Drosophila melanogaster: one gene and its partners. The protein of the gene in region 3 interacts with the protein of the main gene of each other region in a pairwise test. Each region holds a gene or a part of one and is shown on either strand. Other genes may lie near its edges.

Region 1 (5,688 bases), about 19 Mb from region 3:
TAAACTTTCACAGCTTTCACAGTCCCAGAAGCAGTCGACGATCAAGACTTGATAGAAAAGTAAGATTAATGTTAGAATTAATAAATAAAATCATTTATGTTTATTAAAACAAGAAAGAATGTTTGAGTGACTGTTGACTGTTGGGAATATAAAACCTTCATAGTCGCCTGGAACGACACCGACGAATTTATAATGGGTGATGTCCGTAAGATATTCCGCGCATCTGTTGATTGCATCTGGTTTAGCAGACCATTTTTGAAATGACAATAAGTCCTTACAAGAATGGCATAGCCACCCTTCACCAATCATTTACTAATTTGGACTTCTTCGAGTAGATAGTCGGCTGACGAACTGTCGTAACGTGTAACGAAATAAATTGATGGAAGGAATTCGGTTCTAGCTCGTTGGCGAGGAGTTTGGTGGTCTTGCTTGTACAGATACCTTTTCGCTACGGACATTAATGAATAAGATCGATAATTATTATATTCGAAAGAAAGCTTGAGACAACTGTTACTGGCGAAACACCGGTGTAATTGTGTTTGCGGATTGCCCTACCCTACCTATGACCACTTTCCTTAATAGCAAGGCTCTAGTGGCCTCTTATGTGCCCTATTTCCGGAGAAACATCAGCCGAGTTCAGTATTTAAATTTTAAGAGGTTAATTTCTGTATTCATTTTGGTGACTAAAAATTATTAACAATATTTACACTGGCACCGACTTCTGTGGCTCCTGCACAGACACTTCAATTTCTGACTGGATTCTAGTTATATCCGTTACTCGTAGAGTAAAAGAGTATACTAGATATGTTTAAAAGTACGTAACAGGCACAAGGAAGCGTTTTCTATCACATAAAATATATATGTTCTTGATTATAATCAATAGCCGAGACGATGTGACCCTCTCCCTCTGTCCGTCCGTCCGTCAAGATATGACGCATAGCAAGTTTGTTGACCTGTGTTGCCACTCTACCGCACAAATATGTTATAATATTTTTTCATATCTTTAAAGTAATTCAGTACTCATCGTCCAACGGGAAAATTCCATAAGTCATTGCGGACCCTTCTTTTCTCCTTTGCAAACCCAAATTTATGGATCTTCGCTTGGCCTATCCTATTTCTGGAAGATTTAAAAAGGCTTTTTTTATTATATCGTCTACATAGGGAGATTAACAAAACCATTACTTGAAATAAAATTAAAACTTAACTAACACTAAAAAAAATTGTGGGCCTCTAATAACTATACTGAGCGGGGCTCGGATAGAAATCCGGGTTAAGTTCCTGGCCATATGGCTTGGATGAAAAGTGATTTTGATTTACACTTTTAGTTGATTTGTATTAAAAATATGTCTCATCCCAAACTTTACGCAAAATGAGCTCATATAAACCAACCAAATCAAATATTGAAGTCAAAAGGTTTGGGATAGTTTAGAGATAGAGAGCTTGGTTAAAAAGAAGATTTACAGTTTACTGCTCACGAACGAATAAGTAAGCCGAATAAGATAAGGTGAATCTCTTTCATTAGTGGATTTTAATGACCAACCAATTTATTAACTGTCTGGCAGTTCAATATATAACCAAACGTATGCTCGAAATGTCCACATATGTATGCTCATTTTGCTTTTGTTTGTTTTCAAATTTAAAACCTAATCATTGCGTAAGTCTATTGAAGTGAAATAAACTAAATTTAAATGTTTTTATAAATATTTATGCAATGGAGCCAAGAAAGTCTTACTTTTAAATTACCTAATGTTTTCGAGTATCATATGTAGTAAATAATAAATGAAAATGATATCGAACGGAAGACGAACAAGTGTAGAATTATTACAGGAATTAGAACGGTTAGGTATAGAATGAAAAAATATCAATATTAATCAATAGATCAGTAATAAAATCAAATTATGTTTAAGTAGAAACACCAATTTAAACTACATGCTGATCCAAGAACTTCCGTACCCCAATTGGATAAAAGCGGCCAAATGCATAATTAATTTGGAATCGCGTGGACCATGGCAGGGTGAGCAACTATCACCCCCCAATGACATTGTGGGTTGTGCATTGAGAGAAACTCCCTATCTATCATTTTCCATAGCTATCATTTAAATTCACATAGATATGAATGAGCACCCAAATGCTGTAACCTCAAAAGAACACCACGACACTCGCTGACGAGATAGAGCCGGATTGAAATGCGTGCTTTCTTGATATCCCCTATCAACGTCCAAAGTATTACCACTATTGAAATATAGCTAGTCTCCGAATTAAATTCAGTATAAAACTGCGCTCCACCCATAACCTTTATTCAAGGCTATCTGCTGTTCCTTGTGTTACGATTTTGATAAAGCCGTACGTACTCACAAAAATATGCGACATGAAGAAATAGTTATTTTAGATGGGAACACTTAGCTAATCCTACCTATCCTGAGTCTAAAAAAAAATATCCGAAATACAATTTCACTAGAAAGGAGTAGAGAGTAGTTTGGATTACTGGAGGTCAGTCTTCTGGACCCAGGGAGATCATATTATTTTGCACCCAGCCGGGGCGATGATTCGGTAGACTACGCCTTCGAAGTTCTTCTTTGTATGGACTAAAAACAACAGAAGTCCGATGATTTAAGCATTGTTGGAGTTTAATTCAGCGGAGTCGGCATAGCACTATACCTTAACATATGTAATTAACACACACGATCTACAAGCAACAATTGGATAATTTATTGATTTAACCGTACATAAAGATTAATTAGAATGTTGATGTAGTAAATTAACATATTTCAAGTATTAAACTTCATAACATCTTGATGTGCACCTTTCGATGTTTTATTTTCCTTAAATAGTGGTGACGTTACTATTTCTCCCGTTTTTGTTTACTAAAAAATAAACAATGTACACATAGCATTAATAATTAAGTCAATGTAGATTTAATTTAAATCATAAATATTTAATTTTCAACTGCTTGTTTTTAAAAGAACATTGTCGGTTAAAAACGTGTTGGTATAAAATATTACTTTCTAGCCATAGCAATGCCAAGTCCTAATATTCCGCCAAGTACTAAAGCTGCTCCGCCTGCAACCACCATACCCTTTGCCACTTCCTTATCGATTTCTTTTTTAATATATTCCTGAAATATGTAAAGTTATTTAGTAATTATTCGTACATTGAATTTTAGTGTATGTACATTAGTGAGGATCACATGAATATGTTTTTCATTATTATATATGTACATTTAACACGACACATCTTTTGTGATCATGGGATTTTGGTTGTCATAAAAATTTTCTGGATCAAAAAATTATTTGAATCTATTGGAGATTATATAGAAATTGCTGCTTTCCTTAGTGACCTTACTAACCTCTAGGGAGCGAACTTGATCATTTGACTCGATGTCAAGAAAAGCTCGGCAGTATTTTAAGCCAGACGTATACTCCTTGATACGAGCATTACCAAACGCAAGATAATATATATAGTCACGCCTTCCATCTGGATGCGTACGAGCCAGTTCCTCCAAAATCATAATTCCCTGGATTATAAATAAAATAATATTTTTACATCTTTACAGCTTTAAAAGTGAGTCACCTTTCTAACGTCATTTGTGTACCGACTTCGGACCAGACAGAATGCGTACCTATTGTGTCATTAGAATTGAGAAGAATTGAGATATTTTAATGTTTTTAGATTTAGGAATGCGTACTCAAACTTTGTGTCTGTGGTAACTTCACCATCCAACTCAAGTTCGTGATGATACTTTTTTTCGAATCTCTGGAGCAAATGCAAAATATTTATTTTATAACAATCAGAACTAAAATAATATTTTTTACTTCTAAATCTTCTTGTGGTACAACTTCGTTTAAAAGATCCTCCATTGTTTGGCAAATGTTGTTAGCAAATACAAAAATTATATACAGAGAATTTAACGCCAAGAGTAGCCGTTCATTCTAAAAATATAGGATTAGTCGTACCGTTTATATACAATTCTCAGAGAACGACTTCCTTCACATTTTTAGTGTTCCTTCTTATATTCGATTGCCACTGAGACTATTTAATAAGGGGTACTCCGTTAATAGCATGTGTTCTTAATTAAGCCAAATAAAATTCAGCTTTGGAGTTTCAAAAATTTTAGCGAATTCACGGAAGTATTTGATTTTAACTACTTTAGTTTGATTTTATAAAATTTTTGATGTTATAATTATTAATTGTGATCAGAGAAAAATGCATTTACAAAAAAATGTTAACTTCTTTGGCTCCTCAATACCGACTCGGTTATTGATCCTCAATAAAGTGTTAGGAAAAGTTTTGTGTTACCTGTTTTATTCATTTAACGGGTATAACAACGAATTGTTGATTTCTTTTTAATTCATTTCAATTGAACCTGATCCAGACTTTTCAACGAATCTACTTTAACATTTTACTCTTCGAGTAATGTGTGTAATTTAGTATTCAAATTCCTGTATTTTGTGAATAGATAAGGTGTAAGTCCGTTTTTTATGTATCTCGGTTCCATCAATTCAGAGTTTCTTAAAAAAGTTTGTTTATAAAAATAGTTGTTATGAAATAATATTTATCATGTTCTCGATGTGCGCTTTATAAAATATGAAGATAAATGCAATGAAGACACTGCTGGTCGGAATCTCTTATTAATATACCCCTAAAAGAGTTTAGAATGAAAAGCTTTTTTGAAAATAAATACCCATCATTAACTTTAATGGCCACTGAATTTCGTATTTCCTACCTACCTTCAAAAGATCGCTCGATTTTAGAGCTGGCCTCCTATAATTTGACAGCAATTTTGCTAACGCATCAGTATAATTACGATGAGGATCCGGTTCATTCTTTATTTGTTGAACGATGGGGCTCGCGTACGTGACGGCATTTCTTCGCGGGACGGTGCGGGGAGGCAAGAGATGGGTTGTGCTAGTCCCACGAAGTTGAACAGGCAATGATATTGCAGAATTACTGTTCGAAAATCAATGAATATGCTAGCGGTTCAATATATAGCTGACGCATGCAAAGAGCAAAATACAATCGAGTGATACACAAAAACCCAAGCTGGCCACCAGCTTGGTCCTCACCAAGGGCCAGTATAAAGTATCTTAATTTACACCCAAGAAAGTGTCGCGCAATTGCTTCTCGGCAGTTTTTGTTGACATGTCCCATGACGTGAACACAATTTTTATTTCTATTGCTTTTGACTTTTATGCACATGCCCACTCATAATCCTAGAGACATTTGTCATTGATGGTCCGGTCCGGCGAATCTATTGTTGTTGATTGTTGAGCCCGGCTCTATTCACACTTTCTTTCGAACCGAGTCGGCCAGACTAGACCGTCGTATTATTGTGATTTACTTGAGCCGCTTTATCGCCGTAATCACAACAAAGTTGTGCGACAAATACAGATATGGGGACCAACAATAAGAGCGAGAGTTGCGGATGGCAGGCAGCTGCTTGGCTCCTAACCAACTTGAAAGTGACTAATCGGAGCTTAATGTCATTCCGGGACCCTGACCGGAAGACGACGGTTCGCCGTCGATTCGTTAAGGGCAACTAATTGTTGCGACGTGTTTACACACACGCTGTGTCAGCACGGGGTTGTTTTTGCAGCGGGTGCTACCAAGAGACTGCTACCAGGCGGTTGCCCCGTTCGCCATAAATGATCCTGTAATTTTCGTTGGGCGCGTGCTCGCGATTGTTCTTTA
Region 2 (6,579 bases), on a different chromosome or scaffold from region 3:
GACCACGCCATCCGCCAGGAACAGCGAGCCGGGGCCTCAGGTGACGACTGGATATCGGATTTCCAAGGAATAGGAGAGTTAATTGGATTTAGCGCCAGCTTTTTGTAGTCCCTCCCCCATGCCCATCTACCGCTCTCTAGTTGTTATTGATGCCCCTAATTAATTGCGTCCGTTCCAGCTCTTGAATTCGCATTAATCCTGAAATCCTCGAGTGAGTTATTGACCTAATCCGAGTGCGTGTGCAACAAGTGCGCGTCATAGCTGTCAAGTGCTGACAGAATTGGGCAATGGTTACGCATTACGTTGACGGATGACAAACCCATAAGAGGGTTTCTCGATGCGAATCGCAGGGCTGTCAGGATTGCAGAAAGTGAAAGTCCATACTGACGTTGCACATGGAATTACAACAGGAATGATTTCGCAACGAATAGTTTGTATGATAAGCAAACATACAAGAAGCAATACTTTGGAAATGATTATACATGCATCATTGATCCGTAGCGAATTGATTCCATTCTATTTACACTTTTTCATTTGAAACTCGACATAATCTGGGCAGAAAATCGTTGGAATGACAGGTCAAAGTGCCGCAGACAGAAGCGATTCGAGTGCAAATTACTGACCTATTATGATGTTATTTACCCCCGTGTGTGGGCAAGTTTATTTTCGCCACGTTGACCTTGGCTCGAATGCAATGGGTCTTTAGCATGCAATGCGCAAATTTGCGCCTGGCGGTATGCAGCGGAAACTTCGCTCTGCCGACGGAAGTTGGCCAATGCCACAAGCCCCAAAAACTTTGCCGCTCGCCAGCTGGCCAAAAGCTGCCTTTGGCATTCCGAGCACGCTCCTGGTATCCACACACACACTCGAGCACTAGGACACCCAGACCCCTCGAGCAATCGCAATTAACGCCTGACACGCGCCCGACAAGTGCAGCATGTCAGCCAGAAACGCTAACAACTTGGCCCAAAAGAAGCGAGCCACCAAGCCGGCCGTCGGCAATATAATAATTGATTTTTCGCACATTCCACTTACCGGGCCTAGGTTGTCGAAGCCGTACTTGTCGGCCACATCATGGGCAAACGAGTTGTCCACTCCGCGCCGGAAGCGCACCAGGAAGGAGCTGGTAAAGACGGCGGGGCCGCTCAGTCCCGCTCCCGAGCCGCCTGCTCCTCCGCCCGCTCCTGCACTGGCCCAGTGGAGGAGCAGGAATGGGGCCAACAGCCAGCTCCATGTGGCTGCTGCCATGGAATTCAGATTGGACGCCTTGGTCCTGCGGGTTCCTCCTGGCCTCTGACTCCTGGCGGCGATGGGGCAACTCTGGCAGCCCGTACAAACAGTTGGTGCGTGGGGCGTCCTTTGGGTGATTTTTTTCCGTTGGCAGGATACCGAAGTGCTGACGAAAATAAAGGACGCGCTCCACTGCACACTCTGCGAATTGGCGACGCGAATTGGGTAGCCAGGATCAAGTTGCTCGGTTGGCAAAATATCCTCTTGTTGTGGTTGCAATTTGTTTTCTTTATTGTGTATTTTTGGCCCCTTCTATGGAGCTTGTTGTGCTTTCCTTCCGCCTGAAATTCTGTTTCTATGTACTTCGTCTGGAGTCTTTGTGCGCTGCCACGAACTTCACTGGGGCGCTGCGCGCTGAGTACTGTTCGCCAGCGGTACCGACGGACGCCATTATGAATGTCCGCCAGGCGCCAAAGCGGTGGCAAAAGCTTCGCCGCCGAAGCTCGCTCGAAAGCTCCGACTAGCAGGCGATAAGCCACCCGCCACTCACTCGACGCACCCCTAGCGGAGATACCGTTGTCTTACCAGCTTCGCCAGTGGCGTGCACAGGAATGTTCCAAGGGGCTACTACTGTTAGGCTTACAAAACTAGAAGTACGCTAGCAAAACTAGAAGTACGCTATCATGGTAAAGTAAGTAATATACATATCACACAGATAAGCTTAATCCCCCATAATCCACCCGACTACGCCCCTGCTCGCCTACTGCTGCTCAGCTGCGTTGGATAAGCTTTTGCTATGGCTTTTCCCACCGACTCAGGCTTTCCATCTCGGTTGGCTTGGCTTCTGCAGCGGCTTTGGCTGCCCGCAGACGTCACCAGTTTGGACGCCCGCTGCCATTAGCCACCCACCATTCCGTGCTAAGTTGTAGCTAGTGTTTTGTCATTGGTTTATGCTGCGCTCCGTAAACATATGGCAGCATACTTGACTTTCGCTGACTTTCGGCTGAATGGCACGATTCGGCTGAATGGAGTCACTTGCTCCTGCGGTTCGAATGGCGAAGGGACTACTGACGACTGGAGGAGGACTATTCATAAACATGGGCGCAATTGCCTCTTACGCGTAATGGCTGCGAAAGGGCTTCAACTTTGACCTTAGCCCAAATAGGTTCATAAAGCCTCGAGCACCCAAGCCTTTAAACTGCAGGCCAAGCGAAAAGTGAAGACAGCTGGGGCAACTTTCGCCGGCTTTTCATGCCGACTTGATTGTTGCCTCCTCCCGAGTTTTAAGTGCGAGATGGGATTCACACACTTTGATTTCATTTGCCATAAATTCTGTTTTCCAGGGAAATCCCTTCTTAGACTCCTCATTGCATTTTAAATTTAATTTTATGAACTCCACATAAATTAACATTGGGTAATGTTTGCTTGATTGGTTGCCGGAAAAATAACTCAAGAGATAAATAAGTTGCAGTTTTTATTTGTTTTTCAATACAACTTATGTAATATAAACGAAAAATAAGAAATACTTTTGTATACACTAAATTATTAAGGCTTGGGTCTTGAATGTTTCATACATATATAAAAAACCAGCACAATGTAAGCATTTACATTAGGCTTAATAATATATTAAACAGGTTTATCAATAGTGGAAAAAAGAAAACGAAATATTCATTGAAACAATCGAAGATGATGAGGAATTGGCGTACTTAGGTAACGTGTAATTAAATACTAATTTTGTTGGGTTTATCAGCTGCTTCTCAAGCAACTCAAAGACGCGAAGAAATCCAACTGACCTATATATAACCATAGTCTGAATATTAAAACAGAAATCCTTCGCCTACATTTCAATTAATTTAAAACGCTGTCGCACTCAACGAGCTTCCTATCCGTGAATGAAAGCTCAACCGGGGGACGTCAATTCACTGCCTGTCGGCGACCAGTCGTATCCACCTGTCCGTCTGCGTCCTGCCACCTGTACTGGTGGTACTGGTGGGCGGCGCGTTCGCGGCCCGATAATGCCGAACATATGGCGAGTCGCATGCGCCGAACGAACGCACAGGCCTTCGATGCGAATATTAAGGGTCCTGCTTTAAATTACAATTAATTTTTAATTAGGCTTAAATTAACATTTTCAAAGACGCTTTGGAGCTGCATTAATCAATTAGCGTACTCGTATACAGAATGCTCAGGCAAGGGGGCACGCAAGTCAAGCGAAACAAAACGAAATATCTTAAACTCTAACTTTGCTCATCACAATTGGTACTCGCTGAAGGGAAGCTGATTGTATTCAGGGGCTGGTTACCTAATCGGGTTTCATTTCCGGCTGCCAAAGAGTTTGCCGCGCGCTGCAGGGAACGAAATGATGAGTTTGCTTTGGTCTAGAAATGTTTGACTTCACTCTGGCACTTACCATGCGATGTGGCTGGGGACAGAGCGTGCGAACTGGCGTGCCGTTTGATGCGCGGAGTATCCCTTAGCTCTGAACCAGATGCGGAGGAGGCACTTGTGCAGGCATTTGAATTGGCCGTCACATTGGTCAGGGTGGACACTCCGCTGCACGAATCCCCTGTGGTTGGCATTGATTTGTAGCGCTGCAGCGAGGTGCGCGGCTTCTTCGGCATTGTGGCCTGCTGCACTGCCTCTTCTAGGGCGTTTAGCCAGTCCTCGCCCTCGCTTTCGTCTTCCAGAAATTTCATGTAGAAGGAGGGTCGCTTTGCCGTGTGGTGCCTAGTGGGTGTGGTGCTTGTGCTTGATTTGGGAGGTTCATGGTGTTCTATTTTCGACTCCAGTTGCTGGGAGGCCTCAAGCAGGAAGAGATCCGTCTCCGAGTCGTTGAGGAAGTCTGCCATTGGATCGGAGGCAGCTACAGGGGAAAGCACTGGCTCTGGCGTAGCCTTCGTGCAGGTTAATCTTGTGCGGGGAGCAACAGGTGACGGAGCTTTAGGAGTTTTTAGTGGCATTACTGGTTCGGACACAGCTATTTGCTCCAACTGGCTATTGAGCCTAGCACAGCGCTCCTTAAGAAGAACATTAGCCCGCATCTGCTGTGCCCGCCACTGCTCATTGTCCAGTTGGCTGCGTCTATCCTCGACGCCCTTAAAGGCTATCTGCCGGCGTCGTTCGCGCTGGCTCAAACTGCCTATTTCCGCGGAGTCGAAGCCACTGTCCGTGGTGGCATTGCTGCTTCGGTTCCAGCGCCAGCCCACCTCCGGACTTTCGGTGGCCAGTGTCTGGGAGAAGAGGCAGCTGGGCGAAAGGCTGATGTCCAAACGGGGCGAGAAGTCCACACTGTCGTCCAAGCTGGGCTTGTGTTTGTGTGGTGGAGTGCTCTCCAGGTCGGACGTGATTCCCACTACTGCTGAGGAGTTGGGCGAGCCGGGAGTGTCCACGGATACACTTACATTGTGCCCTGTGCGTACGCTCTGTGGTGAAGCTATTAACAAAGGATTGTTTTATGGATATTCCTGATTTTTCGAGCTTGGAAATCCTTACCACTGTGGCGCTTATGCAGCAGACGCGTGCTGAGCGTTAAAGATCGCCGTTTAAGTGCGTTCTCCATAACTTTGACTTAACAATAAAGTGAACTGCAGTCAATTATTTAACTAATCAAATTTGTTTTGTTTTGCGCTGCGGAATGCGCTAAAAATTAAAGTAAGCCGACAGTGTTGCCAGATGGCACTGTCAAAACTCACATGGTCACTCTGCTATTCAACTCGTTTTGTTTATAGCCCTTTTCCACTTAAACGCATAGTTTAATAAAAAAATCCACTCTCCAAAATCTATGAAAATATTTTATCTTTAAAATACAATCAATTTAAATTTTCATCTACATATGTTCTTTTATATAATGGCTGACTTGATGATATTTCTGTTACCACCAATGCAAGAAATCAGTTATTTGAGTACTGAGACATCCATTGGCACATAAATCCATATATCGCAATAAGATGAACAATAGGAAATTGTCTTAAAGAAAGTTTAGTGTATAAATAAAATAGTGTATAAATTTACATATAAGTAAACTTACGGAGTAAACGTTATAAAAATAGAGAAATGTACAAATATACAAAATATAATACAAAAAAAAAAAAAAACAAAGATATCTATAATTTTTTTTTGTAACTTTTAGTATTTTATCTATCGGAGTGCAAACATTCTGGTAGGCGGTCATGCTTTGGTATTTGGCAACACTAAACTCCGGTCACACAACAAAATGCTTATGGTGATGTGTTAAAAAGCGAAATTTTGAATACAATTTACTGATCCAGAAAGATGAACTACAATCCAAATCCGGGTATGCGGAACCGTAAGTGGGAGAACTGTAAGGATCAGGCTACGCAAGCAAGTATACCTGAAGGATGTCCGGTGCAGCCACTCCGGAATTTCCCCACCCGCCGCTGACCGGAATCGGAATCCGGAGTGCTGTCACTGTTTACGTTACACGTTACCCCGTTTTGTGCGCCGCTCCTGGCTTCCACTGCATCCTGCTCCCCAGTTTCTATGCCTGCTGTGCGTTTCCGTTCCGTGATGCGTGTGTAGCTTGAGTGCCTGTGTTCCCCGCTTCCCAGTTGTATCGTTTAGATCCTCCGGCACTAACTAATGGTTGCTCTGTCCCAAAATAGCCTCAGCTGCCGGTCGCCCAAGGCCGCCGAAGCGTGTGAGTGATGTTAACGCCATGGGACCCTCGGCTCCGATGATGGGCGGTGGCGCCACCTTCATGGCCCCGCCCACCGGCCCCGGAATACTAGATCCCAATATGTACGGAGCACCTGCTCCGGCCCCGGTCAACAGCTATGGCTTCGACCCCAATCTCGGCCAGCCCTCGCAGCACATTCAGCAGCCACCACAACAGCAGCCCGGATACGGATATGGAGCACCACCTCCCCAACAGGCGGCTGGGCCACCCACCTACGGAATAGGAGCACCTCAGCCTGTAGCTCCACCCACTGGACAGTACCCACAGTTCGCCATGTTCCAGCAGCCCATCGTGCAAGACATGGCTATGCAGTACGGTCAGAAACTAGCGGATCAGGGCAAGCAGATCATGGAGAATCAGTTCGAGAAGTGGGTGCCCGTAGCCAAGCTCAAGTACTACTTCGCAGTGGACAACGCCTACGTGGGCAGGAAGTTGCGCCTTCTGTTTTTCCCCTATATGCATAAGGTGAGAGTGGTGAAGCACAAACGGAGAAACCATATAAATTACATACTCCTTTCAGGATTGGTCCCTGCGCTACGACCAAGAGCACCCAGTGCAACCACGATATGATGTTAATGCGCCAGATCTCTATCTGCCCACCATGGGCTACATCACATACGTGATCGTAGCGGGTTTGCTTCTGGGCATGCAGA
Region 3 (8,637 bases):
CGTTCTCACGTGCGTAGCGTCGCCAAGAAGGTTTCCTGCCAAAGACTGGCTATAGACAGGGGCGCATGGTATTAAAGACTGTACATACTGTGGGGCGCGTCGTCCGTCTCAGGCTCGATGATGTCGTTTGCATCCTGGCGCTGGTTCATTTCGAACTTGGAGATTGGGTAGATCCAGCTGTTGCCTAGGTTCGCGAGGTCGGGAAGTGCGAAATGGGGTAATCCCTCGCTTTTTTTTTTTTTTTTTTTGTGTAGCCTTTTATTTATTATTTAAAATCTGTCCTAGTGGACAATAATTAAATTTTTTGGAGGGAAACATTAACTTAAGGGGAGTACATCGAGTGTACTTGGGTAGGGGTTAAGTATGATTAAGTATGTTGAGTAAGGTCAAGCGGGTGCGTTCTCTGCAGGCGTCTTAGGGATTGGCTGTGGTCTAGAAGGTTGACGGCCAGGTGGTTGTGGTGGTTCTCCAGTCTGCTAGCATATCTCACGCTGTGTCTGTAGATTTCGTTGTCTACCCATGGAATCCCGAGCTCCTCGTGGATGGCGGAATTTTCGTGGTAGGGATGGGCGTTGGAGACTATTCTCAAACATCTGTTTTGAAATCGCTGGATCTTCCTTCTATGTGATGTGCAAGCAGTGCCCCACAGCTGAATTCCGTACGTCCAGATTGGCTTGAGAATAGTCTTGTAGACGAGAATCTTTAGTTTCTCTCGCAGCTTTGACTTTTTACCCATGAGCCAGTGGAGTTGCTTTAGGCGTATGTTGGCCTGGATACGCTTACTGTTGATGTGGGGGCCCCAAGTCAGCCTTCTGTCTAGGGTCAGCCCTAAATATTTGGGGGTGCTGGAGGTAGGGATTGTGTCGCCGTCGAGTGAGACCGGGGGGCATTCTCCTCTGCGCAGAGAGAAGGTGGTGTGGGAGGATTTATCAGCGTTGATCATGATGTTCCAGCGTTTCAGCCATGGATCCAGTGCATCCAGTTGCCTCTGGATGATGGCTGATGCTAATTGAGGGTTTGTTGCGGTGGCAAGGAACGCCGTGTCATCTGCATAGGTGGCTGCTGTGAGGTAACGGGAGGGTATGATAGGGAGGTCTGCTGTAAACAGGGTGTAGAGGATGGGACCAAGGACGCTGCCTTGAGGTACTCCGGCTCGTATAGGCCTTGTCGTGCTTGTTGAGGAACCGCATCGCACTTGGAACTCTCTTCCTTCAGTATACGATTTGAGTAGGGCATAGTGGGAACTGGGAAGGTGGGACTTGAGTTTGTAGAGGAGTCCAGGATGCCACACTCTGTCGAACGCCTGCTTGACATCCAGGAATACGGCCGAACAGTATCGTTTATTCTCGAATGCATCTAGGATGCGTGCTACGAGCCGGTGACATTGCTCTGGTGTTCCGTGGGATCGCCTGAAGCCAAACTGGTGATCAGGGATCAGTCCAGCCTCGTCCAGTACTGGCATGACTCTGCGCAGAAATACTCTTTCGAGTATTTTGGAGAGGATTGTCAGCAGACTAATCGGTCTATATGAGGCAAGATTGGCTTCAGGTTTTCCAGGTTTGAGGGTGAGAATGACTTCTGCACGTTTCCATGATCTCGGGAAGTACCCTAGTGAGAAGCATCTGTTGTATATGTTGGCCAACAACTGGGAACAGGGCGGTGGCAGCATTTTAAGGGATGTGGCGTCGATGCGATCCAGTCCTGGGGATTTGCTAGCCTTTAGGGAGGCGATCTCTTGCGCAACCTCTTCTGGGGTGACGGGCTCTATGGGCAGGCTAGGAGGACATGGACTCTCTAGGAACCTGGTGGTTGCAGCACGCTCTTCGCCAGTGCATCTGTCAAATGGTGTGAATGCATTCTGGAGGTGATCTGCAAACGCTTCAGCTCTTTCGGCTTCAGAGCGGCACCAAGAGCCGTCCGCTTTTCGCACCGGCGACGCCTTCTTTGCAGGCCTCCTGATATGACGCGTGACTTGCCACAGATTATGTTGCGGGTCACCAGGTTCCAGCTCCTCAAGGAATCTGTCGAAGGAGTCTTGCCGTAGGGTACACAGCTTGTCCTTGAGTTCCTTGATGGCTCTGTTGAGTGCTGCCTTGTCCCTTGGGTTGCGCGAGAAAAACCAGATTCTCCTGAGGCGCCTTTTTTCCCTCGCTGCTGGTGCGAATCACATTGGGCGCTAGTTCGGTGAGACCAAGACGCATATGGCCCGACCAGCCGCGCTCTATCTTTTCGATCTCCACCAAGAAGATGTCCCCAGGGGCCAGCGGACGCTCCGAGAATGTCAGGGCGTCGGCAAAACTAGCTCTCCGGTAGGCCACTGTGGCGTCGTCGCCCAACTGGATATTGGACCCGTGGTATGGATGAAAGCGACTCAGCTGCCGCTTGCGACTGCTCAGGGTGGGGGCGCACTCCAACGAACCAATGGGCGATTCCCGGCCTCGGTCCTGCTCCTGGTCTGGGTCTGGATCTTCCTGCTCGGCGGCCGCGTAGGCTGCACGCGAAGGCGCGCAAAGGGCGGCTGGTGCTGCCGCCTCGTCGAGCTGCTCGGCGGCTTCCATGTGCGCGTGGTCTTCGGTGATCCTTGAAGAATCTCCTGGCGTGCCCGCAGGTTGATTATTTACCTTTTGTTCCACGGAGACTCTAAGTGTGACCGTATGCTTATGTTAAACGAAATACCAGGGCTGCAGACGTACTGGCAATCACCACCAAAAGCAGGAACCAGTTCGTGACGTAATCTGAAGCAGCTGTTCAGTTGTCCAGGAGTCGGTGGAAATTACGAGGTGGGTAAAATCGTATTTTTTGACTGAAATGACCGGACTCACAGAGCCAAGGGGTTTCAGATGCGCGTACCCGGAGCCCTGTTTGCCGCGCGCGGCCGAGCGCCTCAAAGCGAGAAGGACGTGCCCTTCCAGGAGATTCTGCCTCTGCGGCTGAAGAACACCGTGAGCGGGAAGGCGGACTCCGGATCCGATGTGGCCTGTCTCCAGGAGATGGGCGTGCTGTTCGCCTGCTTGAAAGACAACGAATTCGTGGAGAAGTACTGCCACAAGGAGATCAGCCAGTTCCAGAACTGCTACAAGTGCTACATGGACCGTAAGTTTGAGGCGAAGAAGACCGTGAACCAGGGAATCGTCCAACCGGGCAGCAACCTGAACTACAAGCAACTTAACAAGTACATGCGCCGCTACCCCAATCCCGTATAGCTTTACATAGTTCAAGTTGTTTAATAATACACTATTTACAATGTACGCAGCAGCATTGATTCGTCAGTAGACCACGTCGGCGTCTCCCAGCCCGGCCGAGGATTGGCTGACCGGCGAGGGCTGGCTGAGCACGAAGTTGGGCATGGCACGCAGGAACTGCGGATGGGAATGAGAGTGCTGCGCCTCGTACAAGTCTGACAGAAGCGGCGGCTTCTCGCGAACCCGACTGAGCAGATCGGACATCTGCCTCGGTTTTGGGACGGTGGGTGTCGGCACAGCCAAATTAATGTGCAGTGGGTAGCCGCCGTGCTCCCAGGTGTCGGCCAGAATCTGGAGGCTGCGATTGGCCTCAAAAACGCGGGCGCGTTGAAAGTTTAGCCTTTCTTGCTGCAGTTCAGACCACTGATCCTGTGCGAAAATCAGGAAAGGGGTAACTATTAATTACAAGCTAGAGGACTACTTACAAATCGGGTTCCTAAACGGCCGAAATACTTTATCTGCTCCTGTACATTGAGCACCTGCATCATATACCAATCGCGTGCCTTCTCCACGCCATCGAGTCCGAAAAGAAGCAGTTCCCGCTGCTCCTCCAATTGCTTCAGTCTTTTTAGCATGTTGTAATCGATGCCGTGTTGCAGAGTGTGCCTCCGCGACTCTCTGCGCTTGCTGCTGGTCTTCTTGGGCACAGCCGGAAGGGCCAGGCTCCAGTCGGTGGCCGAAGCAGAGGTGGAGGAAGAGCCACCGTCAGCCGATCCACGGTGTTCGAATTGTTCCCGCGACTGCGTCGTTTTTGACTTTCCTGCGTCCGCCATCAGGTTCAGTTGCCAGTTTTGGAGGGCATGGCGAATGTCGTCTTTACCCAGAGCAGGGGACTTGGGTACCTGTCGTGGAGGTTTTGGCGGCGGAGCAGGAGAATGGAACTCCATCTCCGGAGCAAGAGTTCCGTGGGAACGAGGCCGCAACTTCAGGTCTTCCACAGCGTTTTGCTGATTGCGGAGCAGGCACAGCTTGAGGCCGGCGCAGAACCGCTCGAAGGAGAGAAGTCCGCTACTGGGAGTGACCCGACGGAGTGAGTCCACAACTCCGCGTGGCAGTCCCTTGGAGCCATCATCCTGCCAGCCCTTCTCGATGTCCGTGAAGCGCACGTATCCGGTCTGCTTGTCATCTAAGATGTCGAAGAGCTTTTTCATGGACAGGACGAACTGCTTAGGCAGCGTATCCAGTTCCCAAAATTGCGACTGCCCCTGTGGATGGCTGCCTCCCACATCGCCTATGCTTAGGTTCAGCAGACTGGTACTGGTATTCTTGTTCTGGCGGAGCATCTTCGTCTGCGGATGGCGCAAAATGGAAAGTGGGATGAGATTATGAATCGTATAGTCCCACGCTTGGCACCAATGCATAACTTATATTAATAGGAGCTCATTTGCATGGGTAACTCCAAATGGAATGTGTGTGAATCTGGCACGCTGCCTTAGGACTGAATCTCTGAGCTAAGATATTTCCCACTTATTTACAAGCAGTTTTAACAAATTTATTTTTATAAAATCGTCTAGTCGCCACACAAAATTACTTGATTTCAAACTCTACAATTTTATTTAAATGGGCTCAACTGAGACGTGCAAATGAATGATTTTGTTAGTTTCTTGCCTTCAAGTACCAAGTTTACTCAATGTTATTATCGCAGCTGCATCTGTACCTTAGTCCACTTTGGTTGCTTATTTTGTTTATAAACAAAGAGACGGCCCTCCATTTGGCTGACTTACCCAAGCTATGCGGAAAATTGGCTCCTGAAATCCGAGTCCGCGGCTCGTCTGGCAGCCTTTTGAGGCCGTTCGTCAAGGCTTCTGCGCAAACTCTGCAACTATTCTGTGTATGTAATGCAGCTCGGTCGCTTGGATCCCCGGCCAAAACACCCAAAGCCAACCAACTGGTTATATTGACTGCACACTAGATCAGCGGCCGAGGTTTTGGGCCCGAGTCTCGCACGCATGCGCAACTTGCGCGACTGGTTTCTGTGGGTTTTCGGTGGATCTTCCAACACAAGCGCAGCTGAGAGAGTTCCAGGAGGCTAACACACACAGGCTAGGCCAATACCACATCGCAGTCTCAGCAAAGTGCCGAATAGAGAGGCTCTCTTATGATTAGGTAGAAACGTATTTATTAGTAGAAATGCACTGCTCTTGGCTTAATCAGTCGAAAGAGGGAGCTAACCGCCTAGGTTAAGATTGTATCTGGTAGATGCACGAACTGCAAACTCTGCGTGATCCGTATAGGGCTGTGGGGCACCCGGGTGGATTACTAGAATGAGCCTTTCACCTCAAAGTTGTGTTCCTCTAAAGGCTAGAACTTAGTCTTATTCTAAGGATTTCCTTCGAAAATCCTGTCCAGGAAGTGTTCACAACTCGGCCACCGACTTCCGGCGCACGTACTTGGCGAAGTAGTCCGGGCGCCAGCACTTGCAAGAGCCGGGGATGAGGAACCAGTCGTAGTAGAGACGCACCTGGAAGCAGCCCAGTTCATCGTGTCCATCGCAGTGGGCGTCCACCTGCGCCGCGGGGCCGGCTGCTCCAGACGAGGTTCCGTCGGAGGCGGTAGCCACGCCTGCCCTCTTCTGCAGGTACTGCTGGTAGGCCTGGAAATCCTGCACAGAAGGGGCCTGAGTGGTGGTCGAGCTGGTGGGCACTGTGTCCTCCGCATTGGGGTAGAAGATCTCCGCCACCAACAGGCTTACCCAGCGTGGTGACGACAAGCAACCGCCGTCCAGGTAGTGACAGCGTGCCTGAATGCAACGCGTCACCTCCACCGTCTGGGTGAAGTAGCCCTCATAGGGAATCTGGACCACATAACGCCAGGCGCCTTGGTAGTTCTTAGCGAAGACGGGAGTAGCGTACTCTACCTTGGCGGGACAGGGAGTGGGAGGACCCTCGTACCGGATGGGACCCACCTCCTCGCGCCTTTCCGCAGTGGGCGTGGCAGGGGCTGCTCCTCCGGTGTCTCCCTGAATTGCCCTGTATAAGGTGCAAAATCTGTGGGTGGAGTTAAAAGTTTAAAAATCTTTTATTAATTGACCTGCACGCAGTTGTGTCGTCAAAATGCTAAGCAGTTGAATACCCCATGATGTACTCCTCTCTTAACCTATTCTACAATATCTATGGATGTCGATTAAAGTGTTGAGCTTCTTTAGTTGTATGGCTTTACATTATGATGTGGAAAGTGAAATGACAAGCTCATTTGGGTTCTTTGCCTTGATAATTCTTCGAATCTATAATTTTATAAAGATGACTCATAATTTTTAAGTGGTGACCTCTTTAGCTTTATATGCGCGCCTTTCCCGTGCTTTAAGAAATACGATATATTTATCTTTCATTTATGTAGCAGTTAAGATTGGAATAACTCTACTCCCCCGTTTCCATGCTAAAAACTTACACTCCACCGCCATCGCAGAATTTCCTTGGCTTCCTCTCCTCGGCGGCCCTTCTCTGCTGGTTATTCCGATCCCTTTGCTTGTGTTGCTCCTCCTCGTCCAGGGCGGGATCGAAGTAGCTGTACTCGTTGGACTCCACGCCCTCCGGCAGGCTGCGGCGGACGCGAGTGGAACCTCCTGCGGGATAGGGCCTGTCGATGTTGTTGCTGTCCAGCTGTTCCACGGGTTCATCTCGAATGATCTGGGTGACCTTGGGTAGGGTATCGTCGGCCTTTAGAACGGGCAAAGTTTTCGAAAGGAACTTCAGCGTTTGGTTGCGAATAAGTTCGCTGTGGAGGAGGTGTACATTAGAGATGTCTGAAATTTGTTACGCAAATATTTTCACCTACAAGGGATAGGGCTCCCCGAGTACATTTTGTCCCAGCGGATTCTTGGGTATCTGACCCTTGTTTAGATCTCCGCAAATGTTGTGAACGGACACGGCAGACTTCTTGCCGGCGGCCACGTCCTTGCACTCCGCATTTACAAAGGTGTAAGGTGGCGGCCTGACCTTGGGAGGCACCGCATTCGGGGACTCGACGAAGGCGTAATAACCCTCCGGAGGCTGCTCCTCACCGTAGTCAGATGGCGACTGCTGCTGCGGCTGGGAGAAACCCAATTGGGCCAGCAGCAGAAAGCTGAGAATTTTCTACAAAACAAAAGATAGTCACAGTGGAGGTACAATCAGTGGCCGTAGCCGTCTGGAGTCGAGTTAATTGCCCAGAAGAGTCGGTGAATGGCCCAATATTGTCCGGAAAAAGAATCGAGATCTTTTACCCGGCCATACATACACTTTTCGATGTTTTGTTGTTTGGCGAAAGCGCGAAAGTTTCTGTTTCTGTTTTTGTGAAGATAAACAAACCGAGGCAGCAACTGCGATCGAGACGCCACTTCAGCATCTCTCCGCTGTGCTCACTTGACCATTAATTGTTCGAGGGAACTTTCCCTGAAGTTCTGGGCAGTGGCATCTCAATGAAACCAAAAGTTCCACGGACAGACCCGAGTAATCCAGGTCAAGTGGTACAGATCGGTGGGCGGCTGCAGTGCCAAGAAGCTGTGGAATTTCTCTCTTTGTGACACGGTTCACAGCGTAATTTGAATGCGGCGTCGGGGAATCCAAAATCGGGTCAGCCGCTAAGCTCGTTCTTTTGTTTTTTCCCTTCTAATGAGGCAGAAACTTGTTTGCCCTGCGAGAGAGCTCCCAAATGGAAAGAGCACAATTTGCATAGGTAAATATTGGTAGCTCAATTGCAGAATGAAGACCTAACCGCCTTTCGGGGCCAAGACAGGCTGATTTGATCTGGTCAGGAAAGAACTTGTTGGCGCTCTGTTCCCAATATGCGTGCCACACGCCTAACGGGAAAGTTGCTCGGCACCCGGCCAAAAGCCAGTAGTTAGAAGACCGAACTAGAAGAAGGGGCAGAACGGATCGGAACGTACGCTGCTCTTTGGTTAGCTTAATTCATTAGCATGCTCCAGAATCGGGCGGTTCCCAGGGACTGAGTAACAGTAAACGTAAGCGGTTAGCTCGCCAATGTTAACGCATTGCAAAACAAAAGACTTGGGCAACGAACTTGACCAGCGAGCCATAGAAAAAGTGTGCAGTTAGCACACCCGTAATGATGACATACCAGCACTAGACGATAATCCATCTCCGCTCGTTTGCTTCTTGTAGAAGGTTCTTGGACTTGGCCTTCGTCAGGCTTGGCTTAATCCGCAGTGGTGGGAAGCAGAACCAGACGCGTCAAGTGCACCAACTGAACTGAGTTGTCGACCAAGTCGCTGCAGACGTTGAACCTCTGGCTGCTTGTAAGCCCGGTAAACTAGCCAGAGCATGAGAAAGTGGAAAGAAAGAAAGCTTTACTTTGAATTATGCATATTTTGAGAGAGCCAAGTATGAAAACCAAAACAGAAGCATACTTTCCGGCTCAATACAATGTAAAAATGTTGTCGAGTTCTATCCGTTCCATC

The links. The genes of interacting proteins can lie anywhere in the genome.
Region 1: the proteins of CG3880 (region 3) and Fis1 interact in a two-hybrid assay, tested with the Drosophila melanogaster proteins (one large-scale study listed by BioGRID).
Region 2: the proteins of CG3880 (region 3) and CG6425 interact in a two-hybrid assay, tested with the Drosophila melanogaster proteins (one large-scale study listed by BioGRID).

Annotation. Positions count from the first base shown.
Region 1 is NT_033778.4:5,600,898-5,606,585, forward strand, and holds Fis1 (Fission, mitochondrial 1), read right to left. Parts: upstream 3,938-5,688; 5' UTR 3,858-3,937; coding exon 3,813-3,857; exon of another isoform or gene 3,754-3,812; coding exon 3,686-3,753; exon of another isoform or gene 3,620-3,685; coding exon 3,571-3,619; intron 3,515-3,570; coding exon 3,347-3,514; intron 3,116-3,346; coding exon 3,003-3,115; coding exon of another isoform or gene 2,999-3,002; exon of another isoform or gene 2,898-2,998; intron 2,865-2,897; coding exon 2,843-2,864; 3' UTR 2,690-2,842; downstream 1-2,689. UniProt on the Drosophila melanogaster protein: Involved in the fragmentation of the mitochondrial network and its perinuclear clustering. Functions downstream of Pink1 and upstream of Drp1 to regulate mitochondrial fission.
Region 2 is NT_033777.3:26,712,476-26,719,054, forward strand, and holds CG6425 (uncharacterized protein), read right to left. Parts: upstream 4,915-6,579; 5' UTR 4,790-4,914; coding exon 4,723-4,789; intron 4,664-4,722; coding exon 3,641-4,663; intron 3,576-3,640; coding exon 3,544-3,575; 3' UTR 2,690-3,543; downstream 1-2,689. Other genes in the region: amon (amontillado), read right to left, coding at 1,036-1,248; Yif1 (Yip1-interacting factor 1), read left to right, coding at 5,503-5,551, 5,853-6,391, 6,447-6,579.
Region 3 is NT_033778.4:24,757,176-24,765,812, reverse strand, and holds CG3880 (uncharacterized protein), read right to left. Parts: upstream 5,150-8,637; 5' UTR 4,967-5,149; intron 4,532-4,966; 5' UTR 4,526-4,531; coding exon 3,668-4,525; intron 3,612-3,667; coding exon 3,267-3,611; 3' UTR 3,208-3,266; downstream 1-3,207. Other genes in the region: CG3894 (uncharacterized protein), read right to left, coding at 1-35, 89-224, 2,148-2,558; CG12848 (uncharacterized protein), read left to right, coding at 2,841-3,203; spz6 (spatzle 6), read right to left, coding at 5,599-6,229, 6,630-6,956, 7,017-7,315, 8,298-8,318.